Schizosaccharomyces pombe: one gene and its partner. The protein of the gene in region 1 interacts with the protein of each later gene in a biochemical or structural test. Each region holds a gene or a part of one and is shown on either strand. Other genes may lie near its edges.

Region 1 (3,930 bases):
AACCCAAGGTATTGATTTCTTTGCTTCCTGCTCCGTTTTCTTATTCCTTGGAGCAAAGAAAGACATTTTTTTTAAATTAGTATACACGAGATATCGCAAGTAAAAAAAAAAAACACTGACGGTACCTACTACGAAATGGTAGTAAGCAATGCTTGTTCTTGCTTACATACTAGGATAACGTATTGTAACGATTTGTACCATAAACACATTGAGTCGCGCTAATAATGCGTTCTATATTAATGAAAATGTTGGAAGCAAATATTATCGTAACATTAAATGTAAACAAGATTAGTTATGTAATTCGATAACAAAAGCATATGAATGTATGATCAAAAGTTAGGTAGTGATGACAGATGGTCTGGCAGCTTCTGTGTTCACTTGAGCATTCTTTCCAATGGGCGCTGTAGATACATTACTTGTCATGGTTTTGGGCTGAACGAATGCTTGGAATTGAAGGAGAAGAGTCGAAAATCGTGAAGAAAAGTCATATTTTTCATCCAACGGTATGTCGCTTAATTTAACAAGCAAAGTAAAAAGTGAATACAACTTGGTTGATTCTAATAGTTCAGAATTTATTGCGCTGAAATTCTCAATCATCTCCAATATTTGGTGCACATGAGACATATCCGATTCTTGAGGATAATGATTATATGACAGTAGGATTTCTTGTAGTTGGTAGCGGTAATATAAAAGAGTATTAAATCGAATATAATGAACTTGAGCATACATATCTACAGTACTTATAGGCTGAGCCAATTGATATTCAAGTGAAAATTTTGGTAATTCCTCTAAAGAACCGGCAAACCTTACTCTTTTTTTGGCTGTTTTCTTGGGAGAAGGAATTGGAGATGGGGATTTCTGAGCGTTGTCTGTAGCCATCCTAACTCGAGCTGACCTACGTGAAGGTCGTTGCTTCGATGTTTGAGAAATTTCTGCCGACGATTTCTCATTTTTTAACCTTTTACCCCCGTCAATTTTAGGTGTGGCTTCTATCTTTTCCTTTTTTGGTTTCTCGATGGGCTTTTGAAGTTTTTTACGAGTATTCTCTGGTTCAAACTCATCCTCTTCGACATCAGAAAAAGAAACTTTTCTCTTTACGGAAGCAATGATGAGACCTACCGTCTTTTGGATATACTTTGTCGATAAATCATGGTCCAAAATAAACCTTGATTCATCAACAGTTAAGGGCAAAACATTTGAAGAAGAAATAATAGCGTAATCTCTTGAAGGAAGAAACTGAACAAATATTCCATTGTCCATTCGAAAATTTCGTTTCAATCGTTCGCGTACCTCAGTGGGTATTGATTTTTGGCTCGCTACTCTGGCTGGCCACCATGGGAAGCTACTCATCTTTGCTAAAACATATTCCCCATTTTTATATGATTTCCTTGGTGACGTCCTCGGAACATACGCTAATTGTTTACCTTTCTTTTTAACATCACGCAGATTTTTCGTATTAGAAGTCTGTTGCCCGGTGGCCTTTTTTTTTGTTTTAATCTTCTTCTGGTTATTAATCTCTTCAAGCTTTCTTTTTTGACTGCGTGTCCTAGCAACCATCATCGTTAATTACATTCCTTATAAGCCAAACTTCACATTAAAGCGATATAGTGCTGAATTTTTCCAAAGAGATTTTACATCAATTTGTAAAGGTTCCACCAAATATTAGGATATACAAGTAGAAACCGTAAGACGCTTGTCTATTATCAATTAATTGCAGCAACGCTTACAAGATCTACAATAGCAGAGGGGGGGGGTGCTAAAAGCTTGAGCTGTTGCAATATGATACCTCGATATTTCAATATCATTCCTCATACTAATTTTTTCGATAGTATATATTTCTTTCGCAAATAAATCTTAATAAAGAGGGTTAAACTAAATAAGACACGTTAATCTTATCGTTATTCTACAAAACGAGTTACTGTATTGTACTTTAAAATATTGATAACGAAGCTTAGAATGCTTTGAGTATATTTAAATGAGTATAAGACGCGCAACATGAAAGCATTTCTTCGCCATCAACATGTCAACTGGTACGTATCCTTATAAAATGTTCAAAATGGATGTTACTAACCTAAATAAAGTAGAAGATGTGGAAATAGAAAGGCTTCGTGCTGAAAGAGAACTTTTGCGAAGACAAAAAGAGGCAGCGAAGAATTCGTCGACAAATGGAAGTGTAAATATTGAAGGTACCCAGGATTCTAATGATTTACAATATAATGCTCATCTTTTTAAGTCCAGTAACCCAAAAGAAGAATATGACTCCGCAATTGACGTGCGCAATGATATCTCTCAGGATGAAGACGATTATAAACGTACAAACGATGTTAATGATAGTTATCGTTTAGTGCGTCAATATGAAGCACCTAAGGAACTACTAAATGAATACGCTGATGAAAGTTATGACCCTATGCAAGAGAGACAGTCAAAAAAGCAAATTCAGGATCGCGAGTCAGATTATCAAAAGCAGCGTTATGATAGACAGCTTACTCCAACCCGCGTAGATGCTTTTCAACCTGATGGGACACAGAGCAATGGAAGATCTTATGCGGAGGTTATGCGGCAGGTTGAATTAGAAAAGGAAGAGCGACGAGTTCATATGGAATTAAATCAAAGACGTCGTGAAGGAACACTAAAAGAGGTGGAGGAGGAGGAAAGCATATCGGACAAAAAAAGAGAACTAGAGCTTAATAATACGGAAATATCTCAGAAGCCTAAACGCTCTCGTTGGGATCAGGCTCCACCTAGCGTTACGCAGGTTTCCACTACTAAGCGTAGATCACGTTGGGACAAAGCTCCTGAAAACTTCACTATATCTGAACATGTTATAGAAAACGGAATTTCTGAAGATCTTATTAATAAGGAAGTAAATGTAGTAGAAGAAAAATTACGACCTCCTGTCCGTTTATTAACTGAAGAAGAGTTAAATGAGCTTTTGCCGTCAGAAGGCTATGCTATTTTGGAGCCTCCTCCTGGATATTTAGAATCAATTCATCCTGAACTACTTCAAAAAGGTACTACGCTCGATACATATCACGTTCCACAAGAGCAAGAGCTTCCTTTAGAAAAAGAATTACCAGCTGCATTGCCTACAGAAATACCCGGTGTAGGTGATTTAGCTTTTTTTAAGCAAGAAGATGTTAAATATTTTGGCAAGTTACTCAAGGTGGAGGACGAGGCCAAGCTTACAATTGCGGAACTTCGTGAACGTAAAATTTTGAGATTACTTCTGAAAGTAAAAAATGGTACTCCTCCCATGCGTAAGAGTGCATTACGCCAGCTTACGGATCAAGCTCGCGACTTTGGTGCAGCTGCTTTATTTAATCAGATTCTTCCGTTGTTAATGGAACGAACACTGGAAGATCAGGAGCGCCATCTTTTAGTTAAGGTTATTGATCGTATATTATACAAATTGGATGATCTGGTTCGCCCTTTTACTCATAAAATTCTCGTAGTTATTGAACCCCTTCTTATTGATGAAGATTACTATGCACGTGCTGAAGGTCGGGAAATCATTAGTAACTTAGCTAAAGCTTCCGGCTTGGCTCATATGATTGCTACAATGAGACCTGACATTGATCATGTCGACGAATATGTCCGAAACACCACAGCCCGTGCCTTTTCGGTTGTTGCCTCTGCACTAGGCGTGCCGGCTCTTTTACCTTTTTTAAAAGCTGTTTGTAGAAGTAAGAAATCATGGCAAGCCAGGCATACTGGCGTTCGGATTATTCAACAGATTGCTCTGTTATTAGGATGCTCTATTTTACCACACTTAAAAAATTTAGTTGATTGTATTGGTCACGGCCTTGAAGATGAACAACAAAAAGTACGAATTATGACAGCTTTGTCCTTATCGGCTTTAGCTGAAGCTGCTACTCCTTACGGTATTGAAGCTTTTGACAGCGTTTTAAAGCCATTATGGTCAGGAGTCCA
Region 2 (3,930 bases), on another chromosome or scaffold:
TGCACGTAATCCTCCATATGATTAGGGCAATCATAATTTACCACCAGCTGTAAAGATTTAACGTCAAGCCCACGAGCAACTACACTAGTTGCGATTAATACATCAAATACTCCTGCTTTATAATCACTGATGGTTGAGTCGCGATCGTGTTGATCCTTACCGCCATGAATTGAATTACTTGTATACCCGCGTTTCATAAGGTCCGACAAAAGTGCATCCGCAGACTCTTGTCTATCCACAAAAACAAGTGTACGTACATCAAGTTGATTGTTGTACAACTCACCTAACAGCTCTAATAGCCGAGAAAACTTGCTTTCCTCAGGCCGTACTTCAACGATTTGCTCAACCTCAGAAGCAACAACCGACCGTCCGCCAACCGTAATCTCTACAGGTTTCTTTAAAACTTTCCTTGCAAGGGCTTCCATAGCACGAGGAAAGGTAGCTGAAAATAGTACGGTTTGCCGATCAGGTCGAATATTGTTAATAATTCTCATGACTTGCGGTTCAAATCCTAAATCAAACATACGATCGGCCTCATCCAAAACCAAATAAGTGCAGCGGTGTAAGTTAGTAACACGTCCTGCATTCGCACTTAAAACATCAATCATACGTCCAGGAGTACAAACTACGATTTCTGCACCGCGTTTTAAATCAGCAATTTGGTCTTTAATAGGGGCACCTCCATATGCACAACACGCACGAATGTTCAATAACTTTAAGAAAGGTTTACATTCGCGAAAAATTTGCACAGCCAATTCACGAGTAGGAGTCATTATTATTGCAATAGGACCCTCTCCTGTTTTTAATGGGCGCTGATCTTTGATGTGTCGAAACATAGGAAGAAGAAAAGCAATGGTTTTTCCACTTCCTGTTTTAGCTACGCCAATTACATCTCTGCCAGAAGTAATCGCTGGAATTGCTTGTGCTTGAATAGAGGTTGGTTTTTCGTATCCCAAGGAATTGATCACGCTTATGGTTTGGGCAGATAAACCACATTGACTCCAACTAGTAACTGGCTTCGGGCAATCAATACCACGAATTTTAATACCATCTAAAGAAGCCCGTAGTTCATCAACTTCAGCTGGTGACAGATTTTTGAGCTCTTCAGGTTCAACATAGAAATCCTTTTTGAAATCTTCATAATTTATTTTTGAGTGATCAACTGTGATTACGTCTTTCTTTTTTGATCGTTTTGCAGCAAGAGCAAGTAAATTTTCTTCCTCTTCCAAAGTCTCTGAAATTACCATGCGCTCGTCATCGTTTGCATTCGGATCAATGACCTCCGTATTTAATAAACCAGGCCTTATGGTATCAGTGGTACCAACCAAAGAGGCCATGTAAGCATCTAAAGGATCTACTTCGTCTTCCTCCATGCTAGCTGCTTGCTCATTTCCTAGCATACCCCGGTCTTCTTGGTCCCAAAGCTCCTGGTAGTCTTCAAGATTCATACGCCTAGGACCATCTTCATCATCCATGTGAACTCGGTTATTTCGCTTCATATCCGAAGTATCTTTTTGGCGATTAATCTCAAACCCGGATATACCAGTTGAAGGCATAGCATTCTGGTCTTTGGCTGTAACCTGCGGCTTTGTATTCAACTTGTGCTCCTCCTTCTTGGAAGCCTCCTGTTTTGCCTTTGACTCTTTCCACGCTCTAACTCGTTCTAGCCTGGCGAGTAGCTTAGCATCCGTAATTTTGTCTGACGCTACTGGCTTTTCAGCATTTCGTTGATGATTATTTTCAACAGCTTTATCCTTGGGAATTACATCAACTCGTGGATTTTCAGATTGAATTTCTGAAACACTTAAAGAAGCACCAACTCTCTCAGTTCGATCAAATCGAGAACGTCTAGGCTGAGGCTTTATTTCAGTTGCGGAACCTTGTAATACAGGATTTGTTTCATCTGATTTAGTTTTATTGTCTACTTCTTTTTCCTCAGCATGTCTATGAGATGTTGGTCGCGGTGACCTACCAATATACTGATCGGGAATATTCTTTGATCTCGCATACTCTCGATCTCGCTCTTGATACCTTTTTTCGTAACTATACTTATCATGCTTCCAAGAATTATCTCTTCTAATTTTATTAGACTCGTGAGAACGAAAAGAATCATGCCTATCTCGTCGACTTGATACATCGTCTACGTATCGGTTATACCGTGCACCCTTTTGATCTTCAGAGTCATCATATTTTCGGTAATCTCTTCTTTCTCTATTGTAGGATCGCCTTGGAGGCGACCTTGATCGTGTTCTTCTAGACATCAAAAACTGGGTGTTGTGATATGTACACGAAGAGTTTTAATGAGGCAAGTAAACGACATAAATTACTTTATATAGCAATATATATTATGCATATGATATTAGTTCACTACTAGATATAATTTACATTATTATAGTTAACCTCTTTATGATTATTTATACAAGTCATATGGGGTTTATTAAAAAGCAATGAATTTGCCAGTTAAGTCGGTAAAGCAACCTGAATTCTGTGCAATTTATAAATCTTAGAAGTAATATTCATTTTTTATTTCAGTTATTTAAAATTTAATTATGGTTCCCTACACTGGACCTTCAACTTAACCAGTAAAACTCGGAAAAATAATCAACACTGGTATATAAGTAATTTTTTCAACACCGCTTACATTTTGATTGTTGCTGAATTTTTATTGCTTTTGTACTAAAGATAATATCGGAAAACCGAGAAATAAAAGACGATAAAAAATTTTATTGATTGGCGAATAGGCGAGTTAGCTCTTTTTATTTACAATATTTCTTTTTTTATGTAAATAACTATTGGGGTTAAGGCTTGGAATCCACAATTCTTGATTACTAGTAAGGTACTCTTTCAAATGTCTGTTAAACAGTCATCTACAATAGAATGTAATAAGTCAGATAATTTAGAGCGTACATAAATTAAGAAAAGCCATTATTTCCATTCCAAAAAAGAAAAAAAAAAAAGCATAATTGAAATTTACATAATGTTATACTTTTTCTATAATGTTTATGTTTTTGCGCTCTTCGACCAATAATATTGACTTAGCAGAAAACCAAAAAACGAAAATTCTTTAGTAATGCCAAATGAAAGAGAAAATTATTTATGTGTATATTTATTTTTATTTTTTTTAAGTGTATTTTTTCGCCATTTACTCGATTTAACAGTGATAGTATTAATAGCTGGCATTATTTTTCTGGTATTGCTTTATAATTTGATATACTTAATACTGGGATAATTGTTTTTAGGATGAGCAATGGTTATACGCATGTAATGAAGTTAGAAACCGACAGCAAATAAATCTTACATTTTGAAAGAAAATTTAAAAAATATGGTTGTCCAAATACAAGCGATGGGATACCCCAACGTGAATACATGGAAAGATTGAATGTAGAGTATCTAATTAAGGAGAATTAAGCTAAGGCATGAACTATGCCCGAAACTGAGCAATGGTTAAAGAGTATATTAAGTAATTTATTTTACCCAATATATTGAAACTAGTTTAACCTCTAGTTGGTATGTATAGTTGGTTGCTCATTTTTACTGATTGCTGTATTCCATTCACTCTTTCATCTTTAGGTTAAATATTTGTATTTGGTTCTCCTTGGATACTTTTATCAGTTGGTAATCATTTTTAAATTCATTGTCTTATATAGGATTTTTGTTTTGTACAGATTCTTCCTTTCATCATCCTTGAGAGTCTCTTAACTTCACGATCCGCCTAAATTCCTAAGAAGGAGTCTATCTCATGCTACTGTTTTTTATTTAACACATTTGTGAACGGAAATAGAAATAGAGTTGATTATTCCATCCAAATTGGAAAATTTTCGCATCAAAGTATTTAACAGCTTTCAGAAATCAAAATTGCAAATTGGAAAATCTCTACGAATAACACCACCATTAAATATGGAAACAAAGGTTCATTTGCCTCTTGCTTAC

The links.
Region 2: the proteins of prp10 (region 1) and prp11 form a complex in vitro, tested with the Schizosaccharomyces pombe proteins (one study listed by BioGRID).

The regions. Positions count from the first base shown.
Region 1 is NC_003424.3:4,334,878-4,338,807, reverse strand, and holds the start of prp10 (U2 snRNP-associated protein SF3B1), read left to right. Parts: upstream 1-2,003; 5' UTR 2,004-2,020; coding exon 2,021-2,030; intron 2,031-2,081; coding exon 2,082-2,186; exon of another isoform or gene 2,187-2,252; coding exon 2,253-3,930. Other genes in the region: DNA replication factor C complex subunit Rfc2, read right to left, coding at 1-66; pdp3 (PWWP domain-containing protein), read right to left, coding at 337-1,560. UniProt on the Schizosaccharomyces pombe protein: Contacts pre-mRNA on both sides of the branch site early in spliceosome assembly.
Region 2 is NC_003421.2:517,871-521,800, reverse strand, and holds the start of prp11 (ATP-dependent RNA helicase Prp11), read right to left. Parts: upstream 2,290-3,930; 5' UTR 2,262-2,289; coding exon 1-2,261. Other genes in the region: rad16 (DNA repair endonuclease XPF), read left to right, coding at 3,898-3,930. UniProt on the Schizosaccharomyces pombe protein: ATP-dependent RNA helicase involved in pre-spliceosome/complex A assembly and mRNA splicing. Bridges U1 and U2 snRNPs during pre-spliceosome assembly and enables stable U2 snRNP association with intron RNA.